Linked DNA regions of Arabidopsis thaliana. The protein of the gene in region 1 interacts with the protein of each later gene in a pairwise test. Each region holds a gene or a part of one and is shown in the gene's direction. Other genes may lie near its edges. The genes, in order: PTR4, SUT2 and AT2G24040.

Region 1 (10,448 bases):
CCATCATGTTTTCCCGACAATTATCCATCACATTGCGATAACCCTAAATCAAACAAGAAAAACATTATTAATTACACAATACCAAAACTAGTCATGTTAGGAACGTTTAATTCAAAGTATAGTAACAAGTAACAACTTAAATATAATACATTCTAGTTTCTTTATTGACCATTTGGTAAATATATTGCTATTTTGAGTTATTATTTACCTCGAATCCAAGACGAATCAGCTGGTAGTACTGAGCAATCACTTGACTTGAACCTGGTTTATACAAGCATTATCAAATGTTTAGTCTATAAAACAATTCCATACACCAAAAATATTATTGAAAGTTATATATGTTATGGACTTATGGTAATGTACCTTTGGAGAAGTTGAGTGTAAAGGTTGGTTGATCAGCGCCAAGATAATTGATATGGAAGATAAGTTCATCAGGCAAATCGGTTTTGGTTCTCCATACAACCCAACCAATACCGGCGTAAACCAAACCGTATTTGTGACCACTCACATTAATACTCTTAACCAACGGTAGCCGGAAATCCCACTCCAGCTCCGGATACAAGAACGGAGCAATAAACCCACCACTCGCTGCGTCCACGTGTATTGGCGTGTCCCATCTGCAAATTGTGTTTTAGAACGTTAAAACCGGACTCCAAACCGATTACAATCGATATTAGCTTGTTTCTCGGTTTGGTTTAATTACCCGGTTTGCTTGTTTTTCTCGACAAGGAGGTCGTTGAGGAGCTTAACGTCTTCGAATTCACCGGTTAACGTTGAACCGAGGATGGCAGCGACACAAATTGTGTTTTCGTCTACCATTTCGACCGCCTTTACAGGGTCCATCACGTAATAGTCTTCTCTTAGGTTCACTTCCTTAAGCTCCACTTCGAAATACCTTGCGAATTTCTCCCAGCAAACCTGTATTGAACCGGAAATTGAGTCACACATATAACTTAACCGGATTGATAAATTCAATTTTGTCTTGGTTAATATTTCATCAATTTTTGTTTTGGTTTACCTGGACATTAGCACCGGTTACGATATTGGGCTTATCATAAGGAAGCCCTTGGGCCTTACGCTTATTCTGCCATTGTCTCTTAAAAGCCAAACCGGCCAACATAATCGCCTCCGACGATCCGACGGTGCCAACACCAACGGCAGCTTCACCGTCACCAAGCGGCGCGTTGAAGAGACGTGCTATCATGTTAACACATCGGTTCTGAAGCTCAGTGGTGACAGGGTACTCGTCCATGTCGACGTAGTTCTTGTTGATGGACTCCATCATGAGCTTGTCACATTCTGGCTCCATCCATGTGGTCACGAAGGAAGCTAGGTTCAGCCTTGGGTTACCATCGAGCATTAGCTCGTCGTTGATGATTTGGTAAGCTGCTTCTTTTGGGATTGAGTTCTCAGGCATTTCGAATCTAATGATGAAATGATGATACATTAAGTTAAAATAACGAAACATGTCCTTCCTTATAGTATATAACACATAATAAATCTACAACATTAACCACGGCCAAAAAAAAAACTATCCAAGGTTTACATCATTACATGTTACTATTGTTGACGAAAACATTAGACAAAAGATTTGTGTTACAAGTTGTTACCGTGGAAGAGAGTTGCGGACGTAACGAGAAGCAAAAGTTGAATGGATTGAGACATCAGATTCGGAAACTGTCTTAGACAAAACCATGTCTTCTTTCAACTTCGAACTTTGATTTTTGGGTTTGAAATGAACAAGAGGAAAGAATGTGTAGTAGTGTTTTTGTTTTGTAGTTGAAGAAGAATGTGTGGAATTAGAGGAAGAGGAGCAAATGGTATATATAGTAGAGAGAATGTGTCTCTTCATTTCGTGTTTTGCATCGTGAAAGGAAGCATCGCTGGTCCTTATTTATGTGCTCCTTTTTCAAACCTTTTCCTTACCAATGACTTTTCCTCATTATAATATTTAGACCAATGAATTACTAACTTTTAGAAACACGAATACTTTTATTACTATCGTATACAAATTCCGACCGTCATCTTTTTATTGGATCTTTCTAAGTTATCGTGAACATTTTATTAGTGATTTTGATTTTGTTTATTTAGCATCTCCCGCGATTTGATCAATTTCACACTTACATAATTATGTGAATATTACAAACGCGTTACGCGTAAAATGTGAATATAGTACTAGATTATATTGTTTTCGTGATTCCTTTTTGCTGTCAATGGAATTTATACCAATAAGCTAGAAACCAAATTCGAACTTATATTGGTATCACCACTAAAGGACATTGACTTTTTGTTGTAAGATCTCATATTACCATCTCTAAAGTATAAAAATTCAAATAAACATCAAACCCATGGTCTGACCTAATTAAACAAATAAAGTTAGGCGATTTATCAAACCTCCCACATGTTTAGACTAGCTTTAGAATAGCCCTAGCTTGGGTTAATTTTGTTGAAAACTAGAATCCACTAGCCCTAGCTTGGGTTAATTACGTTGAATACTACAGCTTGATCAGCATTGTTTCTAGATTACCTTTTTTTTTTTTTTTTCAATTGTACATAGGATTTACTTATATTTTCGAATGGATACATGAAACAAGAATACTTCATCATATATGTTTATATTTTTTAAAAAATCAGATTTTATAGACAATTCTATTTTGACTATTCAGGATATTATTAAATACAGTTTTCATTTTCTTTATCTATCTTGTTTTTATTTTTTGACTGAAGGACTTGTCAGTAACAAAAGTAAAACAACAGGTTTGTTATATCTTGTTTTTTTTTGTCTCCCCCAAATGATTTTCAGAAATAAAAATATTTGTGAGTGGCACTCATACGTAATTAAGAGGCAGGGAATGGGGCATAACTGGCAGTAAGAAACAAAAGAAGAAAAATAGTAAAAGTCAAAAGTCGACCCATCAGTCACTCTCTAACGCGTTAGTCAATGGGAACCGGCAAATGGAGACCGAGACGCCACTCGCCGAACCGGCAATTATGGGTAACCGCCACCGGTTTACTTCTCTAAAGTTCTGACTTTCCTTAATTATTGCAACACGAATTTTGAAATGGCCAATTAATACATGCTCTGTTCGGTTTTGTTTGTACTAGTCAACTATTAGCGACCGAATTATTGACTATTCAATAGTTCAACGTTAAATTATTAAGGACAATTCAAAACTATTCCTTTCATATTCAACATTTTTATTTAGAGACAAAATCACCAATCCATAATTTAATTTATTTATTTATTAATCATTTAAGCGGTTCGAAAACTATATCACTAAAATCAATTGGTAAACCAATAAATTACAAAACGATCATGATTTACTAGAGCTTCTCGTTTTTGAGGTTGAAGACTGTTGGTCTCCCAAAAAAAAAAAATCAATTTACCCCAAAACTATTTTTATTTTGCATTAATTAATTATTATCATAAAACTTTATTAACACCATAAATTGCATTTGGTGCTTCAAAAAATAAAATAGTATTTATTTACTTAATTCCTTACCAAATATTTTATATCCAAGTTGTGGAGGTCATAAAATTGGCCCAACAAGTACAAATTAGGAAACCCACTAATATTTAAAGCCCAATAGGTCCACTCAATTTTGCAATTTCTTAAAACGTGTTGTTAACAAGAACACATTTTATGGTCCAGTGGTCACCGCCACCAACTTCTCGACTTCGAGAGAGACAAGAGTAATCCAACGATCTGGTTGATAGTGGTAACACTGTTCCAATGAGCATTTTTTGGCATATCCCTCAATATATCTTTATTGGGAACATCTAGCGTTTTGTTCTTTCTTAGTCGGCTTGATTTTTTCTATGAACAATCTCTAGATGCAAAATTTGTGTAGTGCTTGGACTCTTCACTCGGCTCATTGATTCTTACACTTGTTGCATATTTCACGACAATGAACCTTAGTAACGGTCATCTTGATTACTATTTTTGGCTTTTGGTCTGTCTTGGCTTTGTTAATTTACCGGTTTGGCTAGAAAGGTTTCGTAAGATTTGTTTGATGTCTTCTTTAAAACTTGAAGTCTCTAACTTGTTTGATAACTTTTGTTGTGTTAGGGGAAAAGTGTGCTATGGCTCAAAATTTGCTTAATGCTTAAGTCTAATCAGATTAATAAAGTTTGTGTGGTTTTATATTCCCTCTTTTTTTTTATAACATTTTTTAAAGAATGTGGTTCTGTGGTGAGTGACCACTCACACCACCAACAACAACTTGGTCAGTGGGAGGATCATTTTATTTGATCCTTCGTTGAGAAGCTTAAATCAGCTTTACGTGAAAATTGTCATGTTGAGGAGAAAGTAAAAAATGGCTTCCATTGATGAAGAAAGGTCACTTCTTGAAGTTGAAGAATCTCTTATACAGGTTCAACCTCATTGTCATTGTTTCTTTAGTGTTTTGGGGTCTAAATCTTTGTTGACTAATTCGTTTTTCTCCAGGAAGAAGTAAAATTATATGCTGAAGATGGTTCAATAGATATTCATGGAAACCCACCATTGAAGCAGACAACAGGAAACTGGAAAGCTTGTCCATTCATTTTTGGTAAACACTTTGTTTTATTTCACTTGTAATGTACTTGTTGTATTCTCTCATGTTCTGTCTTTAATCTCCAAAAACTGATATCTATGCTTTGGTTGGTGCAGCAAACGAATGCTGCGAACGGTTGGCTTATTATGGAATTGCCAAGAATCTCATCACGTACTTCACAAATGAATTGCATGAGACTAATGTTTCTGCTGCTAGACACGTCATGACATGGCAAGGAACATGTTACATCACTCCTCTTATTGGAGCTTTAATAGCTGATGCTTACTGGGGAAGATATTGGACTATTGCTTGTTTCTCTGCCATTTATTTCACCGTAAGCATTTTCTTGAAAAATAACTTTGCTTTATGTTCTGTTCTTGGCTTGATGTTCTGTTCTTTGATGTTGTTTTAAGGGAATGGTTGCATTGACACTCTCAGCTTCAGTTCCGGGTCTTAAGCCAGCGGAATGCATTGGCTCTCTATGTCCACCAGCAACAATGGTTCAGTCTACGGTTTTATTTTCAGGGCTTTACCTTATCGCTCTTGGCACTGGAGGAATCAAACCATGTGTCTCATCCTTTGGTGCTGATCAGTTTGATAAGACCGATCCAAGCGAACGAGTCAGAAAAGCTTCTTTCTTTAACTGGTTTTACTTCACTATCAACATTGGTGCTTTTGTTTCATCTACTGTTCTAGTTTGGATTCAAGAGAATTATGGATGGGAATTAGGATTCTTGATACCTACCGTGTTCATGGGACTTGCTACTATGAGTTTCTTCTTTGGCACGCCGCTTTATAGATTTCAGAAACCGAGAGGTAGCCCGATTACTAGCGTCTGCCAAGTTCTTGTAGCCGCATACCGTAAATCGAATCTCAAGGTCCCTGAAGACTCCACGGACGGTTACAAGAAAATCTTTTTCCCTCTCATTTCTTGTTTGAATTGAGCATTAGTCTATTAACGGTTAAATAAACGGGTTGTGATATCAATGTACAGGTTTCTTGACAAAGCGGCAATTATATCAGAAGGAGATGCAAACACTAACCCGTGGAAGCTATGTACCGTGACTCAAGTCGAAGAAGTTAAGATTCTGTTACGTTTGGTCCCCATTTGGGCCTCAGGAATCATCTTCTCAGTTCTCCATTCACAGATTTACACTCTCTTTGTTCAACAAGGACGGTGCATGAAACGAACCATCGGCTTATTCGAAATCCCTCCCGCAACTCTCGGGATGTTCGACACTGCAAGTGTTCTCATATCTGTCCCAATCTATGACCGCGTCATCGTTCCCTTAGTGAGACGGTTCACAGGCTTAGCTAAAGGATTCACCGAGCTACAAAGAATGGGGATTGGTCTTTTTGTCTCTGTTTTGAGCTTGACATTTGCAGCTATCGTTGAGACGGTTCGGTTACAGTTAGCTAGAGATCTTGATCTAGTGGAAAGTGGAGACATTGTTCCATTAAACATCTTTTGGCAAATCCCTCAGTACTTTTTAATGGGCACTGCTGGAGTTTTCTTCTTTGTTGGGAGGATTGAGTTTTTCTATGAGCAATCTCCAGATTCAATGAGAAGCTTGTGTAGTGCTTGGGCTCTTCTCACTACTACACTAGGAAACTACTTGAGCTCGTTGATCATTACCCTTGTGGCGTATTTGAGCGGAAAAGATTGTTGGATTCCTTCAGACAACATTAACAATGGACATCTTGATTACTTCTTCTGGCTTTTGGTCAGTCTTGGATCTGTTAACATACCTGTTTTTGTCTTCTTCTCTGTGAAATATACTCATATGAAGGTTTGATCTCTTCTTCTGGCTCTTGTGTGTACTTTCAAAATTGTTTTTTTTTAAACCAGCAAATCAGTTATATTAAATCATAACGGTTTACATGATACATACAACAACCATTCAAATATAACTATTGAAACAAATAAAGGAAATTGAACACAATTTTGATGAAGAAGTGTAAGTGACCCTGCTTTCGAAACGGAAGCCTTACAGGCAACAAAATAAATCTGTTAAGTCCTCTCATCATACACTCGCAAAAAGCTAACATCTTATAGATGAAACTCCTAAATGCTTTCTGCATTACTTTAATAAAACGAAGAATTTGGTAAGTTGCTCGAAATGGTTCTGAATCATGCTTTTTGAAACGCTCTGCACCGGTTAATGACTATGGATTTTCCTTTTACAAGACTCACTAACGGATTCAATCCATTAGTTTTCATTTTCTCTTGCGCCAATTTGTCAAATCTTCGAAGACATAATATTCCCGGAACCCATATTCGTCGACCGAAGCACCAGTTGTGAGGAAGAGTCGCTACGAGCCTCATTTGATCTTCGGCTAAAACCTCTTGCAACGGTTCACTAGGAAGCGCACCAGAGTCAATCGAAGATTGGCAATGTATTGCCAAATTGACATCGCAATGGGATGTTCCCATCACAGACATAAAAGATGCTTAGCGGATCCGTCGAACAACTTCTCCACACCGGCATCGAAATAGAAATTTACCGTTCCCATGAAGAGAAGGAGGCAAAGAAATCGGCTCCATTGTAATGGAAACCATAAGAAAATTTTATGAAAGAGAGACATGGCAGTTACTATGAAATGATTAAACCGCACCAAGAGAGAAGAGAACAACGCACTGGTCGTATGTTTGATGCAACATACGTTGGTGATGGTGCCCATGATGTTTGCGACAAGATCTGCTTCTTCATGGTGATGATGGTCACAACAAGTTATGTTAATCTTGCTTGACGACGGATCGTGATTTGTTCGAGACAGGCCCGTCTCTGGGGGTGGCAAGGTAGGCAAATGCCTAGGGTTACTAACTAATTTCAAAAAAATTGTTAAGACTAAAAGGCCCCAATATTTCAAAAAAAAAAATTTACTAAGAAATTTTATTTTATTTTGGGTTTTGCCATAGGTCCCATAATGAATTGAGCCGGGAGACTGTTTGGTCAGTTTCGTCACGACAGATTTTGGACAACCCAACCAATGGTGTAATGAGTGGCAAAACCAGTTCTCGCGGCCAACAAGATGAGATATCCGGCGAAAAACATGAACCGACACCAACGTAAGGAGAAGAGAGAGAAAGACGATAATCGCCAAAATAATCACTCACAAATTTGTTTTTATTTTATTTTAGGGGAATTTAGTTAAATTTTGAATTATTATAGTTCTTGGATTCAGAAGTTATTTACGTCAATCTAAGATTTGAGTTAATCTAGGCAAATCTTAGTATTATTTACTATGTAAATGAATTACATTATTCCAATTAGAGATTTGTTCTAACAATTTTGTAGTTATTTTAATCTTAAAAGTTTGAGGCTTTGAGCCATGGATAATAACGGAAAACAATTCTCAAATAAAAAAATAACAAAGAAACATTAAACTATATAGATATATACATCATAATTCACGTTGATTCCAGCCACTCTTTATGACGGTTACAAAGAAAATATGGAAACAGAACTTATAAATTCAGCGCACATTGAATTTCACAAGAGTCAGAAGAAATCGATGGAGAAACTCCTTACGATCAAATAAGTTTCTTTGTCCGCAAGAAAAGAAATCAAACGAAGAAGAAAAGAGTTTGAGAAGATCCATATACCTAACGAAATCGTCGAAGAAATCTTGGTGAGGCTGCCGGTGAAATCGCTCACGAGATTTCAAACTGTGTCAAAACACTGGAGAACTCTGATCACGTCGAAGTATTTCGGAAAAAGACACATGGCTCTTGAGAAAAGCAAAGGATGCAAACTCCTTTTTGTTTGTGATGATTTTGTAGATCGTGCAGAGGACACTCTGTTTTTAAAAACAGTTGCCTTGGAGAAGACGTCAGTTTCTGAGGGAGATGAACAAGCTTTCGAATTCGAAGGATATAAGGGGTTTCTCGATATTTCCGAGAGCTGTGATGGCCTTGTCTGCTTCTACGACACTACAAGAGCAGTGGAAGTAATGAATCCGGCCACAACAATGTTCATAGAACTCCCTCTATCGAGAATCCAACAGCTTTGTATATACAAGCCAAACCCGGAGGTGGAGCTGGAGCCAGTTCAAGATCCAAATCCTGTTCTAGACCCAGTCATGACATGTTCTCAGATTGGAGTTGGGAAAGACAGCGTTAGTGGAAGTTATAAACTAGTATGGATGTATAATACTTCTCCTGCTACTCCTCCTACGTGCGAGGTTTTGGATTTAGATGGAAAAAAATGGAGGTTCGTGAATACTACTTCTCTTGATCATCATCAGATCTTGTGCGATCAGAGGCCGGTGTTTGCAAACGGATCACTCTACTGGCTCACGGGAGATGAGGAAGGATATGCAACAACACAAACCAAACTCATAGTTTTAGATTTACACACAGAGATGTTTCAAGTCATCCAAACACCGCCTTTTATTACCCGTGATGCCTCTGGTGACAAGATTGGTTTATGCAATCTTGATGGTCGTCTCTGTATTTCAGAGTTGAAGAAAGATTGCAAGCAAGAGTTTTGATGGAGAGTTGAAGATAACAACACATGGGAGAGGATCTTCTCGGTTGATTTGGTTTCTACTTCCACTTGGTTTGGTGGTATCACCAAGCAGCCTCTCACACCTTTAACCATCTCCAGGGACACCAATAAAGTCATTCTCTCACTTCGCTGTCAAGATAATCTCGTTGCTCTCGATCTTGATCCAAACTCTTCAGTTTGCCATTTGTATTTTTCTGGTTACTACGGCTTAGTATGTCCTTATTTTCCAACTTTTGTCACTTGCCACTGAAATTTTAGCAAAGTTTGTAGCTCTTTTCTAGACAAAAATTAAAAACTGGCCATTATATTATATGGTCTTTATCCAATAACTTGAATGAAAATCAAATTGTATGACTTAATATATATACTAACTCCGTTAACACAATGCTCGGTAGGATTCTGAAAGAAAGAAACCAAAGAAACACTCACTACTATTAACTCCTTTTAAAGTAAAAACTTTGTCATACCAAATCAAACAGTATGTAGAGTTAACGGAGCATAAAATTTTGACAATATTGTCGTCACACCACTCAGTGTAAAGGCGAATGCTAGTACCAAGAGCAACTCCAACCATAACACACCAAATTAGGTGTTAATGCCATGGAGGCTCTTGTGAGATACACTCACAAAAAGGCTTGATCTCTCTTATCTGGCATTGGGTTAATGCCATGGAGGCTCTTGTGTGTACTTTCAAAATGTTTGGGCCTTTGTGTTGCAAACTGAAATTTATGGCCCTCTGTTTTGGCTTTAGGATATATTTACAACATAATAAATTACACAATTCCAATTAGAGATTTGTTCTTAGTTTTGAGGCTTTTTGACTTAAAATTTGAGCCATGAATAATCTTTCTTCTTTTTTCATCATAGATAATCATAGATAGAGTATAGAAATATTATATTTGATTTTTTTGTGTGTGTTTAAACCTGAATTATATTTGATCTAAGACTAACTATTTCAACTGATTATGAGTCCATCAAGTGAAACTACCTATACCACATACGACATTTATGGTTTTTTTTTTAATCAAACAAAAAAAATTATTGTATATTTTGGTTAAGAGATATGAAGTGAAATCACGTGTGAGTAAGAAGAAAGAGACATGAAATCATATATTAATTAATTATTGTAAATTTTGCACAAAAAAAAGAATTAATTATATATAAATATATATATATATATATATATATATATGTGTGTGGTATCTACATAATTAATTATTCTTCTTGTGATTGTAATATTTTGTAATATTTTTCACTATATGTAAATATGTGTGAGTTATTCGACATTTATGGTTTTATAGTTTCCAAAGGTATCAATATCACTGTTTGGATATTGAAGCTAAAGTAAAGAGAGAACGTAAACGAAAGAGTAGAGAGAAACTAACTCAGTTAACTAATAAA
Region 2 (12,741 bases), 350 kb from region 1:
CAGATCAATCCCAATCCCAAACCCAAATTAACAAGTCTTCAAATTTCCGAATCTAACCAATCACCTAATCAAAATCGGTTCATCAAGCACACGTAAAGTTTCCAGCTTTATAAGATCCAGATCTCCAGATTCCAACCCAATTTCACAAAAAGGGAAAAAAATCAAACCCGGAAACTCAAATCAGCCGATCTGGTTCATGAATCCATCAGCTGAAGAGAAATTAAAAATTGATACTTTAGAGATAAAATCAAAAGGGGTTTGGTTTGTTTGATTGATAATTAACAGATTATTATAATAAGCAGAGAAACGAATCAGAGATTGGAGAAGAGAGACTTACGAGATTTGGGGATTAAGAAGAGAAAATTATAATAATAATTAAGAAAAGCTTAAGAGAGCTGTTTCTGTTCTTCGCGTTTCTTCTTCTTCTTTCTCTGTCGTCTCTTTTGATTCGAGAGCGAATCAGAGTGAAGCTTTGGTTTCTCAGAGAGCTCAAAGTTAAAATCTTTTGAGAGGAACAATTCTTTTTTTCTCTCTCTCTCTCTTGTTTATTCCTCTTTTGTTAACTTTTTAATTTTAATATGCAAATTTTAATGCAGTCAAATAAAAAAATTTAAACGGAAAATCAATTTGACTAAATAATAATATTAAAATTAAAAATTAAAAATAATAATAATAATATTTAATTTCTTTTTTTCATTCACCAATTATAAAGTTGAAAATTAAGAATTACTAATTAGAGAACCAAAACTATATCAACTAACGCAAAAAAAAAAAAGTATATTAATTTTGGGTATTTTTCCAATAAATTAGATTTGCTTTGGTTAGCTGTAAAAAAAAAAGAGTTTTTATTTTTTGGTTAAAGAACCAAAAAAAGAGTTAGATTTGGTTTTTAATTCACATTTAATGTCTTTCTAAATAAATCTGGAGACCTAAACCATTGTTTAGCTAGTAGAAAGGCCTAATCTCCTTTAGAGATGTTTTGGTCCAATTTTCTAAAACAATATAAATATTTTTCCAATTTTTGCTACTGATAAGGATATTTTATATTCTGGATAATTGATATTTTATGGAAAATTAACTAGAAATATATAGTATTTTTTTCTTTTATGAGCGTGAGGAAATCAGGAAAAAGAAACAATCTACTTTTCAGAGTTGAATGCACAGATGTTTCAGAGTACTTCAGCTGTTAAATTTCAGTGGTCAAAAGGAATTTAATTACTTACTGAAAAAGTTGTTTACAAAATCCCACGTCATTAAATTTTCATTTCTTTTTCTTTTTTTATTAACACCTCTATATTATGAAAGTACATTGTATTTTGAAACAAATAGACAAAATCATAATAAATGATAATATATAGAAAATGTCAGTGATTATAACCAAACCAAGTACTTGTTGTTGTTCTTTCACGAATCAGTGTTAGTGTTGTTTTATAAAAATAGTACAGTAATGTTAGTGTTGTTTTACTTTTTTTTTTTTTTTATCAATCATAGTGATTTACAATTTGGTTAAGTATTGTAGTCGTGTTTAGCAGTTTACCGATTTTTTTTAGTTCTAAGACCATTTTTAATGATCATATTGTAGATATACAAAAAAAACATCTATTTATTTTCAAGTTGTTATATGAATTTAATTTGTAATTTTAACTGTTGATGGTCGTGTCTTAAAAATTATCAATTAATGGAACAATTAAATGACATGATTAGAGAAAACTACCAGAACAGGTGGTTAGAAGAAAGAAAAAAAAAGGGGGAATTTGATATTTTAATTACTTTTTGCTTATATTTATATTTGTTTTTTATATTTCTATCACTTTATTATTCAAACTGTCAAAATGTTACCAGTTATATATAATTTTTAACCTCATTATAGTATCATACTGTCATCTTTTATCACTAATTTTTACTGTTTTTAACCTTCTGTTTTCTAACCATCTTCTCCAAAAAAAAACCTGAAGAGTAATTAGCTGAGATTGCTAATTTAATGTGATACTATTTTTGATAAGATGGTATTTTCTATGACTGAAGGCAATCAAAATTGTAGATTACCTGAAAATAACAAATGTGTTTGTCTAGCCAATCGATTAATACATATACAACTATTTTCATGTAAAATTTATTATATGTGAGTATTATTTGTTAATTTTTTGAGGAGAGACTTATTTACTTAAAGTACATTTAACATCATATACCTAAGTTTTACATCAAATAAATACACATTTATAAAGTATATAACGCGGGTAACCAAAATAAATTATCCTCTAATTGTTGGCTTAGCGCTAAACATTTTTTAAACGTTTAATTGTTGGCTTAGCAATACGTTTAACATTATGTGGTTCCGTTAACGATCGATTAACTGTTTTTTATACTGTATATATTTTCAACGAATTGTACGGGAAAGAGAATATTTGTTAGATCAGGTTCACTGGAACAAGTAAGAATACGAGAAAGCTGGCGACGAGTAATCTAGGGCCATGAAACATGTGACTATGCACGTGAGGCTGTCTATACATTATCATGTCACTATTATGATGTTTTTACATGTTAAGTACGTTTATTATTACTATTTCAACAAGTGCCATTACTGGTTAATAGCATTTGTGTATAACTGCAGAACTACTGATCAGGTCAATTTCCCTTTGCGAAATTTATGCACCAATGAAATTTGCCATGATCAAATCTAATGTTTAATTTTTGTTATTGATATGATCTTATAAAGTAAAAATTAAAGGATCGACACAATTTGATTACATATCGTGCCACTATAGGCTTTGACCATCGAACGAGGCCATTCTTATCCAATCAAGAACGTAACAGGCACGTGTGGGTTGTGTGAGAGTAAGTCTTATATGTCCCATGGGAAGTATTATTGGACGGTGCATGCTAAAGTGATTTTACGACTAATCCAAGATCCATCTTTTAAACCAATCTAACTTTATTTACTGTAGCTAGTCAATATTATCTTCCTAATGTCTCGTTCGTTATAACTTACACGAAACCGTATTATCCCATGACATTCACGAAACAATTGTTCGACAAAAACAAAGGCATGATGTCGAGAACCATAAACAACTATAGTACTCTTTTTTTCTTCATATATTTCAAAAAACAAAGCTAATGTTTCATCTACCATTAACCTAAAAACGTATTGTCATCTATTAATATGTCTCTTGAATTTGATCACATGTTGTTTGCGATAGCACATAGTCTCGATGTCCGGTCAACGAGACGATGTTCAGGGGATGATGCATTTTTGACTCAACTTTGTTATAATTGGACGTAGCTTCCGAACTTAATTAGTCGAGTTAAGGTTTCGCATATACTCCGTTCTATATGAACACTCTATATATGCACAAATCGGACCCAAAAAAAAGCAAGATGATGTATTGGTTTTGTTGGGACAATTAAATGACACAAAGATTTTAGAAAAAAAACCATTACAAATATATGCACAAACCATTGTTGCTTTTTTAAAAAATAGTCCACTTTTTAAATGATTTAATGAAGTGAGTGGATATAAGAGTTCGTAAAAGAGCTGTCTCCACGTGACGTGATTCTTTTTTATTTCTTCACGTTCTTTCCACATTTCTATCTTTCAATATCGATGGTTACATTCTCAATAATGATTAATGACCATTATAATTTTTCTTTATCAACTTTAATGGAGTTATTATGTGAAACAGTGTAAGCCCCATTCTTATGTATATATGTAAATATCACATTATAAATTATGATCTATCGACAGAGAACGACAAAATTGCCAACCAATCACTAAGTTAGAAAATTAAATTTATTGTAATAACGCATCTCTTTTTTTTTTTTTAAACATATAGTTTTTATATTATTAATATTTGAATTTGTCGTTTGAGAAATGACGAAGGAGTTATTTTCAGGCGTAAGCATTTGACGTGCTCGACGTTAAGGAGATGACGTGTTAAGTTATGGTACATATGTTTTTTTCTCTTTTATTTGGGTCATAGCCGCGTTCAACACGTGCTTTTTGTCAAATGTAATTACATGATTAAACTAAAAAAACTTATTACTGTTTTTCAATCAACTTATTAACCTTGATCTTTTTTATAACAAAATAAAAATAAAAATTGGCACATGATCAAATCATCAATCTCAAATAAGATAAAACCAAAGGTGTAATAAGGTTCATTTTTTTGTGGAGAAACCGAGTCAATGCTACCAAATTGCCTATATAGGCTTGAATTTTATGTAAATGCTTTTTTGAATGGAATAATCCGATTTTTTATTTTATTTTTTCTTATGTAAAATTATAACATGGTATAGATAAAAAATTTGTTTTGTAATAAGTGATATTTGGTCTAACGGCGCGTATGTATAGTTCTTTTACAAAAGTGAGTAATAGTGGTTTTCTGGTTCAAATACTATTGAGAATGGTATCAGTTTTGATGGACAACAAGTGTATGAGACTCGGCTATAACTTCTCAATTAACCATTAACCATTAAAGAATACAAAATTTGGATTTTCGACTATACTTTGGTTCGGATACATCATACATGCATGCACACCATAACAACTAAACTCAAAAGGATTTGTTTTTGAACTTTTGATGATAAGAAAAAGAAAAAAAAGATGGGACATAAGAGTCATGTACACGTGGATAAGGAAAGGAGAAGAGAGGGACAAGGGAAGAGATGGAGAAAGAGAGACGTAAGTATTAATTCAATTGTGTGCCCTATTAGCTTTCATTTTCCACAAGCAAGAATAATATTAATAATTATGTATCATCTTTGCATTTTTGTACCAATACATGATACATTTGTTAGGCACACGTCTTTTTCCTTTTTCCTCCTTTTTATTTCTAACTTTCTTCCTTTTATTCGTTTAATCCGGCTCTATCACGTTAACACACATATATGTTATATCATCTTTTTACAAACATGTTTACATTAGTTATTAGAAAATACATATACTTGTAATAGTGACATTGGTAAGAAGAACTCTATCACCTTCACAATCACACACATATATGTTATATAATCTTTTTACAAACATGTTTACATTAGTTATTAGAAAATACATATACTTGTAAATAGTGACATTGGTAAGAAGAAAAAAACACTATTAAATAGTGAAAAAATGTTTATAACTCTCTTAATTAACATTACTTATTATTGCTAGCACCTAAAATCTCCCACAAAATATTTGTTGTAAAACACAAATTTACAAAATGATTTTGTTTTTAAATTAGTAACACATGTTCATATATACGTTAATAAGAACATACCCTATATGATTTTATATAAAAAAATTTCTTTGAGACGTCTTATCCTTTTTTCTTTAATAATATGCAATTGTGAGAGTTTGGATTTGAATGGTAGCATTAGAAGCAAACTTGAACCAAACATATTTCATGAAGTCAAACTTGAACCAATGTAATCACTAATCACAGTGTTCGCAGTGTAAGGCATCAGAAAATAGAAGAAGGGACATAGCTATGAATCATATAATCTTGACACATGTTTTATAGGTTTTAGGTGTGTATGCTAACAAAAAATGAGACAGCTTTCTTCTAATAGACTTAATATTTGGGCTAAATGTACCACAGTTGTGAATTTCTTACAAAAATGGGCCGAGCTACAAAAAACTACAGGCCCACTCTCAACTCTTATCAAACGACACCGTTTTACTTTTTTAAAAGCACACACTTTTTGTTTGGTGTCGGTGACGGTGAGTTTCGTCCGCTCTTCCTTTAAATTGAAGCAACGGTTTTGATCCGATCAAATCCAACGGTGCTGATTACACAAAGCCCGAGACGAAAACGTTGACTATTAAGTTAGGTTTTAATCTCATCCGTTAATCTACAAATCAACGGTTCCCTGTAAAACGAATCTTCCTTCCTTCTTCACTTCCGCGTCTTCTCTCTCAATCACCTCAAAAAAATCGATTTCATCAAAATATTCACCCGCCCGAATTTGACTCTCCGATCATCGTCTCCGAATCTAGATCGACGAGATCAAAACCCTAGAAATCTAAATCGGAATGAGAAATTGATTTTGATACGAATTAGGGATCTGTGTGTTGAGGACGATGAGTGACTCGGTGTCGATCTCGGTTCCGTATAGGAATTTGAGGAAGGAAATTGAACTTGAGACGGTCACCAAGCATCGTCAAAACGAATCTGGTTCTTCGTCGTTCTCTGAATCTGCTTCTCCTTCGAATCATTCTGATTCGGCTGATGGTGAATCTGTGTCGAAGAATTGTAGTTTAGTGACGTTGGTTCTTAGTTGTACAGTTGCCGCTGGAGTTCAATTTGGTTGGGCATTGCAACTTTCTCTTCTTACTCCTTATATTCAGGTACTTACTATTACTCTTGTCATTGTTACCATTTCTATCACTTGTGGCTTTCTCTATAGCAATTTAGATTCGAGGGTTTTGTTCTTGTGTAGCTTTGTACGAGAAAGTCGAGTACTTTGTAGGTGAATCAATGAATTCTAATACTTAGGTTAGGTAGTTGTTGTCACCAACATAGCCATGAGATATTTTCGTATGGAACTCTATAGCATTGGCTTATCGAAGAGTATATGACATTGGAATTTAGCTAGATTGTTTATGTTCATTGGATTACATAAGCATTTGTAAAAATATAAAAGACCTTAGCCTTTTTCGGAACTATTGTATAATCAGAGATTAGACTGTGTTTAGAATAGTATTGTACTGGTCATATATGTATCAGGTGGGTAGTTATGGTGGTAGATAGAACTATTGTTAAATATCTGTTTGCTGGAAGTATTTTGATTTTCTTGTTGCTGAAGAACCCTTTTGAGTTTTATCTAACAGTGTTGCATTTGGTTGGTTGATGCAGACCCTTGGAATATCGCATGCTTTTTCTTCGTTTATTTGGCTGTGCGGCCCAATTACAGGCCTTGTGGTAGGTTAAAAGTTTCTTTAAGAATTTTAGCAGTTTTACTATCTTGCACGTAATGATCTCACGAGAGTTCAAGTTTTGATTTATATTGGATCAGAAACTATTTTTCTGCCCCATTTTGTTCATACTTATTTGTTTGTTGGGTTTTAGGTCCAGCCTTTTGTTGGCATTTGGAGTGATAAATGTACTTCAAAGTATGGAAGAAGACGACCATTTATTCTAGTTGGATCATTCATGATCTCAATAGCAGTAAGTGCCAATAGAAGATATGATTTCTGTTTTGATTTTCTTTTAGGAGATAGCTGGCTACATTGTGTTTTATATAAGCTAAACAAAAGCTTGCAATTTAGGTGATAATAATCGGATTTTCTGCAGACATTGGGTATCTGTTAGGAGATTCAAAGGAACATTGCAGGTAACTCTCCTGCTCCCCTGCCAATGGCATGTTTTTTATGGAATGTATCAAAATTAAAGTAACTGACGACTTGATGTGTATCTTGAAATGCAGTACTTTCAAAGGCACACGAACCAGGGCAGCTGTTGTCTTTATCATTGGGTTTTGGTTGTTGGATCTAGCAAACAATACAGTACAGGTTCAGATCTGCCTCTGCAATGTACTTGAGTGAATGGTACTAGTCATTACCTCTGTATCCAGGAATGATGTTTTCGGCTTTTTTATTTTCAGGGACCTGCTCGTGCTCTTCTAGCTGATCTATCAGGTAATAATGGAATATAACCATACACTTAACAGAACAGAATTTCTATTCAAACTCTAGAATCAGATTGAATATGCTGTGCTTCTAATGAGATGTCTCTTGCTGTCCCTAGGTCCTGATCAGCGGAATACTGCAAATGCTGTGTTCTGCTTGTGGATGGCTATTGGGAACATCCTTGGGTTTTCTGCCGGTGCTAGCGGAAAATGGCAAGAGTAATCTTTGAGATCCTTATTCTCAAAATCTTGTATTCTTTTTCCTCATTTGCAATTTTGCATTTTCCGCCAGCTGTTAAATGATCAGGCAATTTTACTGCGCAGATGGTTCCCTTTTTTAACTAGTAGAGCATGTTGTGCTGCATGTGGAAATCTCAAAGCAGCGTTTCTTCTTGCAGTGGTAAGCAGTATGTTTAATTTTCTGACACATGCATCTTACTAAGCTTTCTAAATTGCAATGGAATGGGCTGGTCTTTACGAAACACTCTCACGTTTGTACATTGTGACTTGTGATTCATATATGTCGCAAATCAATGCGTTCTGTTTGTATGTCTATATTATTTTTGAGGTGATTTTGAAAGTGAAATTATATTATTGCACCCAGTGGCTTTTGTTCTTGTTTCATAGTCTAAAATCTGAATATATTGTTCTATATGTTTTAAGAGTTTAAATCATTTTTTCAGGTCTTTCTCACTATATGTACTCTTGTCACAATCTATTTTGCTAAAGAGATTCCTTTTACAAGCAACAAGCCCACCCGCATACAAGATTCTGCACCTTTGTTGGATGATCTCCAGTCCAAAGGCCTTGAGCATTCAAAATTAAATAATGGTACTGCCAATGGAATCAAGTATGAGAGAGTGGAACGTGATACGGATGAACAGTTTGGCAATTCAGAGAATGAGCATCAAGATGAGACCTACGTTGATGGCCCTGGATCTGTTTTAGTGAATTTGCTAACTAGTTTAAGGCATTTGCCACCGGCTATGCACTCAGTTCTTATCGTCATGGCTCTTACATGGGTGAGTGCCAAAGAAAAATTATGATCAGTTATTACATATTTCACACTGTTTCTTTTCTTAAACTCTTTAATGATCTTTAAAATTATTTGCTTCTGTTATATTTTTGATTGTGGTCTTGTTCTTTGCAGTTATCCTGGTTCCCCTTCTTTCTGTTCGATACAGATTGGATGGGAAGAGAAGTTTACCATGGGGATCCAACAGGAGATAGTTTGCATATGGAACTCTATGATCAAGGTGTACGTGAAGGTGCACTTGGTTTGCTACTAAACTCTGTAAGAATCGTTATAATAACCTGTTTTTTAACTGCACTGCTCTTCAAAATTCAATTACTCGCCCGTTATTGAATATTCTTCTTCCCTGTTTCCGTAGGTTGTTCTTGGGATCAGCTCATTTCTCATTGAACCAATGTGTCAGCGGATGGGTGCTCGGGTTGTATGGGCTTTGAGCAATTTTACTGTATTTGCCTGCATGGCGGGAACAGCTGTAATCAGCTTGATGTCTCTCAGTGATGACAAAAATGGAATTGAATACATAATGCGTGGAAACGAAACAACAAGAACCGCAGCCGTAATCGTTTTTGCACTCCTTGGTTTTCCCCTAGCTGTATGTGCTTTCTTTCAACCGTAATTCTCTTTATTCTTTTCGTGTTGCAACATTTCTCTAAAATATGTGATAAAACCATTCTTTAATGCAGATCACATACAGTGTCCCTTTCTCTGTCACAGCAGAAGTCACTGCTGATTCCGGTGGCGGTCAAGGTCTGTGAAAAGATTCATATCTTCACTATATTCATAGTTTTTGTACTTAAATCTTAGATTTCAGTAATCCCTAATGGTTTCATTTCCTCACTCCAGGTTTGGCTATAGGAGTGTTGAATCTCGCAATCGTTATTCCCCAGGCAATCTCTCAAATCTAATTACACTGATAAATTTCATTCTCTTGTATAATGCCACTCACTTCGAGTGTAGTCTTGACCCGTAAATAGTGTCTGAATATGGTTTTGGCTCTAAACAGATGATAGTATCACTTGGAGCGGGTCCATGGGATCAATTGTTTGGAGGAGGAAACTTACCGGCGTTTGTTTTGGCGTCTGTTGCTGCTTTCGCTGCTGGAGTTATTGCATTGCAAAGGCTTCCCACGCTATCGAGTTCTTTCAAGTCCACCGGTTTCCACATCGGCTAAAATCTTTATACCACAGACATAAAATTCACAGTTAGATCTACCCGATTCTTTTTGACCACGTTCTCCTCTCGGCGTATATGTAAGTAGGTTTTGTACATCTAGTTTTCTTATATGTTATACACAGCAATGTGACTCTAAATTTACAGTACCTCTCTTCTCACGTAGAATATATCTTCGTTATTTTGAATCACTTTATATTTGTGTGTTCCTTTCCTCACAAATAGAAACTTGAAGCAACATATTCCAAACTCAATAGTCCAATCTAATAACACAATACTGTTGGTTCTTTAACCTATGATGTGTACGTTTTCCCAACATTACCATACTAATATAACAAAGCATTTCAATAAGAACACAAATTCAAACCTATTTTCGCCTATAAACTATGTACTAAAATCATAACCAAACTATATCTCCAATAGAAACAATGTGTCCATAAATAATAAATGCTCATATATCGTGGGTTGTTGATGACATAGTCTTTGTCCACAAGTTCCTTATTTAGTTGATATAAGCATTTTCAAAACAAAGAAACAAAATTCAACTTAGTGTAACAATGTCAAAACCAAACTCTTATCTTCAATAATGAGACAAAAGAAACCGAAGTTAAGTCTATAATCAATTTCTACATAGACAATGTGGCCAAAAATAATAAATGAACATATATCATGGGTTGTTGAGACACCCAATTTAATAAAATAAAAACATTGAATGTCTTATTTTCTTCTTCTTTAAAAACCCTTTGTACATTTACTCTTCAATTCATCCTCATTTACTCTCTATAGTTTCTCTCTCTTTCTCTAAACTTTCACCTAAGATCGATCAATGGCCAAGGGAAGAGGCAGTGCATCATGGTCGGCTCGAGCCATAGTGACTCTCATGGCTGTGTCAGTGTTGTTGCTTCAAGCTGACTACGTTCAAGCTGCAACGTACACGGTCGGTGACTCTGGTATCTGGACCTTTAACGCTGTGGGTTGGCCTAAAGGCAAACACTTTAGAGCCGGCGACGTTCTTGGTATATACTTCACATCCTTTTAATCAAGCTTCAGTAATTATTATACTATCTTGTTACACTTAAACCACAAGCAGTTAAGCTTTCTAATCTTCATATCCACTAGGGATGTATCCATATCATGGCTGCTTCTAAGTATGGGCAAGATGTGCTTTTGTATAAAGCACACGACAAATAAAAAACTTCCTATAGTTTAAAGGTTACAAATATGATTGATAAATGTTTTGCATACACAGTTTAAATAGTGTATATCTTTTACATGATTGAGCCTGTGATATATTTTACTATATTATAGATATGTATGTATACATCTTCCTTCTCCAAAATTTTTTTTCTAGTTTCGATTATTCACAAACGCTGATTTATGTGTATAGCAAAAATTCATGTGCGTTTAAATTTAACAAAAAATATTTTAAAATATCATAAATAGTACCACTAACCTAATTTTTAATTTATTTTGGTATACTTGAGTGATGAATTAAAATTGTTTTCGCATGAAGAAATATCTCAACCAACGTTATAGTATGTAGATTTATGAAATTCCTAAACAGTTCCAGCTACTTTATAATCTGAGTGTCAATATATGGAATCAATTAAGAGTGGTCGAGTAATCAATTATATGATTAACTAATTTAACGTTAGACCAAAAAAAAAAAATTATATGATTAACTTAAAATTTTATATTTTCCAAAACTTTGGTGCAGTGTTTAACTATAATCCGAGGATGCACAACGTAGTGAAGGTAGATAGCGGAAGTTACAACAACTGCAAAACACCGACAGGGGCAAAACCTTACACTTCAGGCAAAGATCGTATAACTTTGTCTAAAGGACAAAACTTTTTCATCTGCAATTTTCCAAACCATTGCGAAAGCGATATGAAAATCGCAGTCACCGCGGTTTGATCGAACATCTAGCAATGAAAATAGTTTGATAACTTGTTATGTTCTTAAGAAACTATTGAAGTATGCAATAAAACTCGTATCAAAACTTTTTTTGTTTTTCTTATGTTTTCTGAAAAGTATCCGGTGCGGTCTCTCTAGAGAACCAGAGTCGGTTTTGTAGTTTGGAAGATTCAAACGGACCTCTTATTATATTTATTATAATATAGTTATAAAAATATATTTCAAAAAATATATATACTGAAAATGATATAAAGAAAAAAGAATGAGGTTGCCAACCATAATAATGAAAAAAACAGAAATGGAAGTTTAATTTTGGGGAAAATTCCCAAAAAATAACTTTATTTATGTAAAATTTACTAGATTTTAACACACGGTACACCGAGAAGACAATTTTTTTTTATTTAAAATTAGTATATATAAAAGTTTGTAAATAATATCTATCTATAAAATATTTTTATTTTATAGTTTACAATTGTTATTAAGTAACGTCCTGCCAAACCCGTCCCGCCAAAACTGTCCCGTAAAAAAAACCTGCGGCACATCGCTAATTTAAATATATAATTAAAATAAATATTTTACCAGATTGCAATTTTATTTTGATTTGTCAAACAAATTTTTGTTTTAAATAGTTGCCAAAATCTAGGCTCATTTTAAGGGATTTTACGATACCACCGATTTTTTTTTGCATATTTTGTTTTAAATAATTTCAGAAACTCTAGTTCAAATTTTGGAAAATTAAGATTTAGTGAATAGATTAGAAATGTTTTTGTTGTGTGTTTGCTCATTTTAAGGGATCTACATATAACTTTTTTTGTTTGAGTGAATAGCTAAGGAATATTTTGCACATTTTAAGGGATTCGACAAATGTGCTATACACGTTAGTATTTAATAGGGTTGATTCGTTTAAAATATGTGTTCGTAGCCGCAAATAATTTAGTCGTTGGGAAGTTTTATTTTGAAGCCCAATAGCGGTGTACCGTTTGGCCCAAAAGAGTGATATGAAAATCACAACACGT
Region 3 (9,659 bases), 9.7 Mb from region 1:
CTTCACTGATCTATTATGTGCATTGATCTATCTTAAGGCCAAAACAAGCTCTAAACTGACCTTGACAAGCTCGCCTGCACAATAACCATCAAATTCTGCGCTGCGAAATTGGAACAAAACCAACATGCAAAACTCATTACTCATAGAAGAAAACTTCCTCAAATTTTGTATGATAAATGTGCCGGACTTACGCAGCTAACTCTTTTTGAACACGTACAGCTTCCACTTGAACAACCATTTGAGCTTTCTTCACAGTCTCATACATATTCTGCATATTACCAAATATTCCTGCCTAGGAAAGATCACACACAAACTTCATTAGTTCCAAAATCATAAACTTTGAATCTTTACAACATGAAGCCTAACTTAAAATGTTCACCTATTGCAGAATCTGTTTGATATTTGAAAAAACCAATGTAATGTACCAACCTTTGATTGTCCATCTTCACTGTTATTATCTTTGTTTCCACCTCCAAATAATCCATTCACTCGAAGAGACCTGTAACCATTTTTAGACTTGTACTGCTTTGGCCATGTTCTTCTCTGCGAATTCAAGCTCGCATTTCCTGAAACTATTCAAACCAAAAAATTACTAAAGCCCATTTCAATCCCAAAAACACTTATAAATACAAAATTACGCTTCAATTCCTCCAATTATGGAATAGAAAAGTCTAATTACGAAAGATTAAGCAAATTCAGATGAAACCTAATGTACGACAGATACATAAAGACTCAAAATCCAGTGTCACGAAACCTTAAGCGAGAGATAGAAGTAGGGATTTAGGAGAGACTAACCATGAGAGAATGGAAAGAGCATAGATTTGGTGAAATTGGTGGTTGCAGCCATCGACGCCATTGTTGTACGAGTAGAGAGATATTAGAGAAGGGCTTTTTTTCTGAAATTCGAGAAGATAAAACCGGAAGCTAATTTTTTCCGGGCAACTTGTTCGTAGCTTCTGTGTTTGTTGAAGCTTTTAACCAATGATTTTGCGCCACGTCACTTTAACTCTTTTTTTGAGCTTAGATTGTTTTTGTACCATTCTTTTCTAGTGAAGAAGTCGCAACTTTAAAGTTTATACACTTTCAGTACGAAATTGAGTGATCAAACGTAAAATGTTCTTACATCAGATATTGATTCGATTTTCGAAAAATTCAATTTCTAGTATAGATGAAACTTTATCAGAGATTGTAACATGCTTCATTAAACCAAAAAAAAAAAAAAACATGCTACAATAGAACCATCTTTCGTGGTTCTATGTATGGGACATGGTCATATGTGTTGTGGTCTTGTGGAGCTGTATTGCGAGAAGAACTATTGATTGATTGTGGAGTTGTCTATATACCCTCTATGTATAGAGAGACTCACCCCAAACATTTGAAATACCTCTAGGCAAACCATTTTGGGCCTCTCCTGAAAGAAGACATTTATCATCGTATCATGTCCAAACAAACATACTCTGCTTGTACAGTTGTAAGTTTGTAAAACATATGATAAAAGCATAAGACAACACACACTCCAAAATGCAATCATGATCTATACACTTATTCTGGTCTCTCTAATGGCATTGGTTATTATTCTCATGATTCTCAATCTCACAACAAAAAAAACATCATGCAAATCTCCTACTGTCACATTGCATAAGAAAAAATAAAAATAAATTCATGAATTCAATCTCTGATTCCTCATGGTATATTGTCATGACCTAACAAAGGTTTTTTTGGTAAAAAAAGTTGATATAAAATAATCTAACAAAGTTACAAAGAATCTTCTATGACTTCTCCAAGCAATGAACCTTACCTTGTGTATCATCCATTGCTAGAGATACTGATTCTTTCTGTCCTGGATCAGCATTCAGAGATCTCACTGGGACTGTAATGAGTTTATTCTGCTGTTTCTCAAGCAAAGCCATGTGTTTTTTCCCAAGCGTATGATTCCTCATCGTCTGCTCAGAATTCGTCTGAATATTACAAGTTTTGCACCAAACCGTTTCCTTCTTTTTCTTCTCACCTTTTGTCTTCTTTCCCGTTGTTTCTTTCGCCGCAATTTCATCTACTTTTTGACCCTGCGGATTAGCATTTTCACATACTCTAATGGCTTCTGGTTGCGGTGCTGTAACGGAAGCAGGGGATAAGGAGGTTGAAGCAGCTTCAGGTGTCTCATTCTGTTGTGTAACAGCAGCCTTATGCTTTTTACCTAACTCATGATCCCTCATGACTATTTGACAATAGGTCCCAACTTTACAAATCTCACACCAAAACTTCTGGTTAGTTCTTAGCTTACCTTCTGCTTTCTTTCCACTGCCAAGTTTCCCTGAACAAGGAACCTTCGAAGAGACTATTTCTCCGGTTTCCAAAGACATCGCCTTTGCTTCTGATTCTTTTGCTTTCGGCCTTTTCACTTGAAGATCTTCGTTCAAACCAGTTTGAATATCCTCTGCTTTACGCTTTTCTCCTACAGGATCAGCTCTAGCCTGCAATAGTAATCAAAGAGAACACATATGGTCAGGATTTGTTATAAGCAAGTAAGGAAAGTACGTGGATAGAAAAGATGAGATATCACACTCGTAGTAAAACACTTACCAATACAATAAACTGCTCTTTGTTAGACTCCAAAACTGATGTTCCTGTAGCCTCAGGCATTTGCTGAAGTTTAGGCAATTGCATGGTACCAACACTGTCTGCTTTAGGCTTAGCTCCTATAATATCAGCTCTATTCTGCAATAGAGAAATCAAAGAGAACACATATGAAACAAAGGCTTATATATACTCTATCATTTATGTTTACCATTACTTAAAGAACTCACCAATACAATCAAATTCTCTTTATTAGACTCCAACATTGATGTTCCGGTAGCTTCAGACATTTGCTGAAGTTGAGGCAATTGCATCATTGGTGATGTAAGTAGACTGTTGTAAGAGCCTGTGTTGATCAGAGAATCAATGTAACTATACTTCTGTCTGAAAAAGTTGTTGAACTGATTCTGATTTTGATTTGGAAGCTTCCTTTGATTGATCCACATAGTTAGCTTTTCCTCTAGAGACATCTCCGTGTCTGAAACTCGTCGTATCGCCATTTCTCTCTCGATAGCCATCTCTTGTAAAACCTCAGCTATAAGCTCTCGTTTTCTCGCTGCTTCTGCGATAATGATCTCTTGACGGATTTGTTCTTTCTCAATTTCTCGTTTGATCGCTTCCCGAACTTGATCCTCACTTTGTTGTCCTACGAAAAAGGTTCATAATCACTTCACATTTCGACATGAGAAGATTCATAAACTTCAGATTTTTCACACAGATTTCAATTTCGTGAAATCAAAACATGAAAAAACAAACACTCAAAATTTACGTTACAGAAACTAAACAGGTCTCAACAAATCAACTCCTATAGACAATCGCATCACCAAACAAAATACGAAAAGTGCAGAATCATAACAATGTTCTCTGTCGGGGATGGATAAAAAATACGATGCACAGACAGTACAAACCTGGCATTGATCGTTCCGACAAGAAAGGAAAGTTCGGTTTCAGCGACGGAGATGGTGTCGTGTCCGTCGCAGGAGGTGGGCGATTATTATCGATGGCTCTGTATCTGAATTCCATCGAATTCAAAATTTGGAGAGAGAGCGGAGAAAGAGGGTTATCGTTTGTAATCGCTTTTACCTTCTGGTCGGTCACTTTTCTTAAATAACAGGGATAGCTTTTTTTTTTCTGTTTTTTCCCTTTTTTCTTTCACTGTTGTGAATCTTGTGATAATATCAAGAGATTTTTTAAAAACAATATGGAATTTAATCATATGCAATACTTAGCAAATTTGGTTACTAATTTATTAGAGATTTGACCTGTGATAAGATTTAAATATATTTCTATTTTCCTTAAAAACTTGTTTTATTGAAAATTTTAAATTACATTATGTGATCAATCTTTGACGGATTTTTCTATATAAAATTACAAATTTATTAGGGATTTGATTTGTGTAGTGGCGTTTCAAACAAAAATTTAAAATAAATGTATTTTAGATTAAAAAAATTATGTTAAAGGGAGTTTTAATATTTTAAGAGATTACAATTATTACATTATATGCGTGTTCAATTTTTGGCGGATTTCTCTATGTAAAGTTACTAATTTACTAGGGATTTGGTTTATGTGGAACCAAAAACAAGTTTTAAATTTTAGTCAATGTATTGTAGATGGTAATTATGCTAATATTTTTTTTAATCTTTCAAGGGCTTTAATCAAATTCAAAAACTTTGTTCAATCTTTATCTTTTTGTAACTTTGTAGAGGTTTGACCCGCATTATTCAAATTCAAACAGATTCTTAAAACAAAATCTTACAAAAATTCTATACTTTGAAACATTCAACCAAATTTTAAAATCGTGTTCAACTTTCGATTTGTCTATATAAGATTACTAACTTACTAGGGATTTGACTTGTGAAGTGAGAATTTCAAACGATTTTTAAAATTTAGGTTAATGTATTTTAGGTGGTTGAACAATTATCTTTAATTTATGGAGATGATTTTCTGCCTACCAATATATCACCGATTAAAATTCTCACATATGATTACTATTAAGCTAAGCGGCAAAATCATTGGCGTCCCGAAAAAAGTAGTATTCTCTCTGTTTCATAAGTTTGGTATTGTAGGTTTTTTACACAAATTAAAAAAGGTATTTTTTATACTTTTTGATTATTATTTTGTCTTGTTTAATAATATTAATTCTATTTCTCTGTTTTCTCTATTAATCACAGCTAAAAGTAATAATAATGTTATACAAACCATCAATTTTTTGTGAAAAAAAACCTACAACATCAAACTTCATGCAACAGAAGAAATATATAATAAGTTCTAGCGATTAGTTCAAGCCGCTTAACTCGCATCATAACAATGACATATTTTCATTTTAAACTCAGTTAATAATGATTGGAGTGTCCTATATTCTTTAAAAAGTGTAGTATGTCTTTTCATATTCGAACAACTAGGGTGTTATTCGTTTTATTATTTGAATGGTGCATCTCGATTATGCATCCAAATATTGTAATCTAGAGGATGCTTCCGGCTGTTGTTTGTTTATATATTTGGTTCTTCATATGGATTCCCTATCTTGATGTAACTTTGTTTGTTTTTCTTTTGTATTTGTTAATTTACATTCACATCGATGTATTTAATATCAAAATGACTAAATTGTGCATGTGTTAAATTTAATGATATCTTAATAATCTTAACTGTATTTACAACTAAAAAAATTTCAAATTTTTCTTGGCACAATTATAATCCAAGATAATGCAATGTAGCTCATCTAGTAATATCATTTATCAGCTGGAATGAGATTAAATAATGAAAGAGTATGGTAAGTGAAGCCATACCAAAGCTCCCGTGAGTCAACCAATAAACAGACGTCATACGTCAATACCCAAAAAGATATCAACAACGAACCGTAGGATATAATAAATCCCGCAAAATAAACGGTTAAAGATCTCGCGGTACACTCTGTATCTTAATTATTAAGATTCACGTCGCTGGACACAACACCTACTATATTTGTGGTTGTTTGTTTCGTGAAGCTTCTCTCTTCTTCTCTTTTTCAAGTCATCAAATCTGATCTAATCTCCGTAAATTAATGGCGAGTAGTTGCGAGCTTTGCTGCGAGATCTTCATCGCAATTCTTCTTCCTCCTGTCGGAGTTTGTCTCAGGCATGGCTGTTGCACTGTAAGTTTCATCTCTCTCTATCGATCTCTGAACTTTCACAGCTTCTTATTTCAGAAATCGAAACCGTAGTTGAAATTGAATTGATTACGGTTATTTAAATTGAAATTGGTTGCACTCCGGTTTACGGGAACCAATCAATATGATGAATGTGGAGATCAATTACTGAAAATATAATTGTGGTGTTTTTGTTAAAAAGAAACACTAATTAAGGGACTAAAAAATAAAATTTTTAAATTTTGTTTTTCCTAACTCATGTTTTTTTGGTTTAACTTGTAGGTTGAGTTCTTCATTTGTTTGATACTGACTTGCTTAGGCTACTTACCAGGAATAATATACGCAATTTACGCAATTTGTTTCTTGCACCGCGATGAGTATTTTGATGAATACAGACGCCCAATCTACTATGTTGCTTGACCTCTTGATTGATTCTTGCTCTTGAGCACACATATTGTACTTTAAAGTGTAATTTACTTGTATCCTGGAGATAATAATACCATTTTTTTTTAAGACACAGGTATTGTGGTTTATTTTACTATATACTTTGATGAATGATGAATGCATAATGCCCAATTACTATTTGCCTATGGAGCCCTCATATTAAAGGTCAGTATCTATCGCGCTATGATACAGCTAAAGAAATTAGCTCAGCAGTCACTGAAGTGGAAGAGGAAAAAGAAAACACTGTTTTTTCTCTGAACAGTGAAGAAGACAAAGACACTTGGTGAAGAAACAGAGACTGACAGTGATTCTGAATTCAAGATGACTAAGACGACAATACCAAAAACAGGAAGAAAAGTTTAAAACCATTGTTAGCTATTGCATCACTTGAAGACTTCACACTTCTTTTCTCTTCTTTCCTGTTTTGCTTTGCTAAGTTGTTTCCAGGAAAGAAGAAAGAAGAAGTTGTGGAGTCTTTTGATGAAGATAGTGACAGTGATTACTATATTTACCCTAGTCCATTCGATATTGAAGAGAATTCCAACAGTGAGGAATACAATCAAATCTTCATTGTTATATGTTACCCTAGTCCTAATACATACTATATTTATATAATGGTAGTACCATACTTACCATTACCCTGAGTGAGTTTCAACGATGATTGAAATTGAATTAAGGCATCCCACAATTAATTAGATTATTAATGTCAAAGACAAAAATTGTGTAGGCACTAAGAATAAGATAACAATCAACAAATTGTGTTTTTTTTTCTCCTCACCCTGAAATGTTCAAAACTCAAGATGAACGAAAAAAACAAAGATGTAACAAAACTGAACCAAATCTTCCAAGTATGTGATATTAACTCAAAACTTATATAAGAAAAATGATTCAGACTACTCCTCAAGTAAACATTTTAAGACTTTGCCGGCCAAACCAATTTACTTTTAGAGCAAACTCTGGCATGCCTCAACTTCAACCGCCTGCGAATCCAATACAGACTGTCCCGATGGACACTCGCGAACACTCTTTATCACTGCATTGAGTACGGTTTTTCTGAACCACTCATCTTCCATCTTCTTCAGAACATCTCTCACCAGCTCGAAATCCAAGACTTTAGCTGAGACCAACTCCCCTAAGAACTCTCCGAAGCTGTTTGGTGCTTTTGGCAGATCGATTCCAATGTCATCCAACATGGAACCGTAGAGCAAACAACCTGCCCCTAAGTCTTTAGATGTCAGCACATTCTTAGAGATCAGATGTTTCAAGAGTTTGGCAATTGGTTCAACCAATGGTGGGTTTTTCTCTAGACCGAGCGAGATTGTTTCCTTGACGAGCTCCGGGTGGTAAGATGGAGATTTTAGTTCCTCAACGCATTGCAATGCCTCATCCACTAAACGAATACTGAAATACTCTTCAAGAAGCGACTTGGTTTTTCTCTCGAGCTCTCCTGCGTTCAGGCTATTAGCCAGAGGAGCTGCCTGTGGCTGTGGCTGAGGTTGAGACCGTGGTTGCGGCTTCTCAACAGTTGGAATGGGTTTAGAGGCTTGAGGAGCTGAGCTAGAACCGTTACCTTGCAAAAGAGGGCTTGGCCTACCACCACCATTGAGGAGACCTCCGCTACCCTGAGGAAGAAGCCTTGAGTTGACTGAGAGTGACTTGTTGATAGCAGGAGGTGGCTGAAAACGCGGCTGCTGCACTGTTTGTCTATTGCCTCTGGGCATGGACCGGGTCCGTGCCATTTCCCAGCCGTCTTCATCCATAGGCATCACCCTAGTTCCCGGCATGCCGGGCATCATTCCTCCAGTACCAGGACGGCCAAGGATATTTCCCAAGCCCATACCGTCTGCTGCACCAGAAACCGCAGCGCGGTTGTTGTTGTTGTTTCTCATACTTGCCATTGCACCCGGACGCATCCCAAGATTTCTCTCTGCCTCAGAATGGATTTCATTGATTTTCTTCGCTTTCACCTGCCATTGAATAAGTACAACAACACGTAAGCACGGATAAAGAACTAAAGACTGTTATTAAAAGATTTGAGATGGAATGATAAAATCTTACCTCCTCACGCCTTGGTACCCATTTATTAGCTCGAAGATCAACAACGTTTTGGACCATAAATCTGAGACGCAGCTCTAGCTGAGGGTGCCTTGCTAGCTCCTTCAACCGACCAAAGTACGTGTCATTAATACCTCGAGATCGTGGGCTGTCATCAAGTTGCTTCCCAATGGTTATAAAAAATTGGCAGAGAGCTTCAACATCTCCCTCTGCTGGGCAAGCTTTAGTATCGTCTCCTAAAAGCTCCTGAACAATATGATGAACTATCTTCTCAGGCACCATCTTTTGCTTGAGAAGTTCACCAATCAGACGGATATTTCCAAGTGTCCGGAGCTTTGCCATTTTCTCCTTATCCATTCTTTCCATTTCTTGGTCTGGATTAGTCATCTGTCTGATCTCTTCCTTCAATTTGCCAGCACCTTCAAATGCCTCTTGGCAATTATTCAAAAGCACTCTTTTAAAGGTTATTTCTTTCCCACCGGGTTCCTCAGAGGGAAACGAAGGTAGCTGTCCGTTAATATCAAAACACAGAAGAGCATACATCTCGCAGAATGTGGGCTGCAGTATAGCATTCTCAAAAATTAGCTGTATCACTTCCTGCAATCAAAGGTAAGAGCAAATCAATACCATGAAAGAGAGAACTACAACAATAGAGATCAGGAATTGAAACAAACCTTTAGGATATCTGCGGAAGTGATGCCAGCGTCAATCAATTGACCTTTAAGAAGCTCGTACTTCTCCGGAGTAAGCTTGTTTAGAATACTGCATAAAATTGTAAAGAATCAGTCAGAATATACATCACATCAACCTTCAAACACAAAAGCTGAAAAGAATAGTATTAGTTGTTGACAATACCCTTTCACGCTCTTAACGACTCGATCTTTATCTGAAAGAGCTCCTCTTTTAGCTGACCACGGAACCTCCGCTTTAATCAGCACAGGGGTAGGACCAGACTGTTTCACAAGATGATCATGTTAGCAAGAAGAGAAAACTAGTAATGATATGCCAACACATAACAAGTGACGAAAACTTACCCCTTGCCATGTACTTTTGGCTTCACGAGGGTCGTCCCTTAACCATTCTTTACCAGAGGTTGGAATCTGAGAACGACTATGCCAGTCACGGTTATCAGTCTCGGTATGACGATGCTGAGTATGATTTGTTATCTAATAAGACCAAAACCAAGAATGAAAGTTTAAAAGACAGATTCCAAAACAGGAGGATTACACACACACACACAGACACACACTTACTTTACTCTCGGCTGCATGATTCCCCCAACTCTGCTCTTCGCCAAAAAGCTCAACTGCGATTTCCTTACAGCGTCTAAGAATTTCATCAGAGACTTGAACAGACTGCGATCAAGAAAACACAAAGGTGAATGATTTGGTTCACAAAGTCAAAAACAGAATCAGAGAATTAAGTTAAATACCTCTCTGTGCTGAAGTATCTCTTCTCGGGA

Evidence for each region.
Region 2: the proteins of PTR4 (region 1) and SUT2 interact in a protein complementation assay, tested with the Arabidopsis thaliana proteins (one large-scale study listed by BioGRID).
Region 3: the proteins of PTR4 (region 1) and AT2G24040 interact in a protein complementation assay, tested with the Arabidopsis thaliana proteins (one large-scale study listed by BioGRID).

What each region holds. Positions count from the first base shown.
Region 1 is NC_003071.7:474,800-485,247, forward strand, and holds PTR4 (Major facilitator superfamily protein), read left to right. Parts: upstream 1-4,177; 5' UTR 4,178-4,317; coding exon 4,318-4,374; intron 4,375-4,448; coding exon 4,449-4,551; intron 4,552-4,652; coding exon 4,653-4,870; intron 4,871-4,949; coding exon 4,950-5,436; intron 5,437-5,530; coding exon of another isoform or gene 5,531-5,559; coding exon 5,560-6,332; 3' UTR 6,333-6,386; downstream 6,387-10,448. Other genes in the region: GAD4 (glutamate decarboxylase 4), read right to left, coding at 1-43, 209-261, 364-617, 704-918, 1,019-1,424, 1,611-1,852; AT2G02023 (uncharacterized protein), read right to left, coding at 6,668-6,979; AT2G02026 (uncharacterized protein), read left to right, coding at 7,108-7,287; AT2G02030 (F-box family protein), read left to right, coding at 7,536-7,606, 8,097-9,030.
Region 2 is NC_003071.7:825,614-838,354, reverse strand, and holds SUT2 (sucrose transporter 2), read left to right. Parts: upstream 1-5,735; 5' UTR 5,736-6,058; coding exon 6,059-6,325; intron 6,326-6,833; coding exon 6,834-6,899; intron 6,900-7,046; coding exon 7,047-7,145; intron 7,146-7,246; coding exon 7,247-7,311; intron 7,312-7,404; coding exon 7,405-7,489; intron 7,490-7,581; coding exon 7,582-7,615; intron 7,616-7,724; coding exon 7,725-7,824; intron 7,825-7,929; coding exon 7,930-8,005; intron 8,006-8,288; coding exon 8,289-8,627; intron 8,628-8,755; coding exon 8,756-8,899; intron 8,900-8,996; coding exon 8,997-9,230; intron 9,231-9,321; coding exon 9,322-9,385; intron 9,386-9,481; coding exon 9,482-9,525; intron 9,526-9,641; coding exon 9,642-9,809; 3' UTR 9,810-10,076; downstream 10,077-12,741. Other genes in the region: ARPN (plantacyanin), read left to right, coding at 10,635-10,824, 11,526-11,725. UniProt on the Arabidopsis thaliana protein: Responsible for the transport of sucrose into the cell, with the concomitant uptake of protons (symport system). Can also transport maltose at a lesser rate. May also transport biotin.
Region 3 is NC_003071.7:10,218,414-10,228,072, forward strand, and holds AT2G24040 (Low temperature and salt responsive protein family), read left to right. Parts: upstream 1-5,443; 5' UTR 5,444-5,614; coding exon 5,615-5,704; intron 5,705-5,980; coding exon 5,981-6,118; 3' UTR 6,119-6,334; coding exon of another isoform or gene 6,335-6,400; 3' UTR 6,401-6,758; downstream 6,759-9,659. Other genes in the region: AT2G24020 (Putative BCR, YbaB family COG0718), read right to left, coding at 61-100, 192-292, 430-572, 796-856; AT2G24030 (zinc ion binding / nucleic acid binding protein), read right to left, coding at 1,770-2,471, 2,581-2,715, 2,805-3,220, 3,483-3,597; eIFiso4G2 (MIF4G domain-containing protein / MA3 domain-containing protein), read right to left, coding at 7,087-8,109, 8,201-8,794, 8,872-8,959, 9,053-9,150, 9,232-9,363, 9,451-9,552, 9,630-9,659.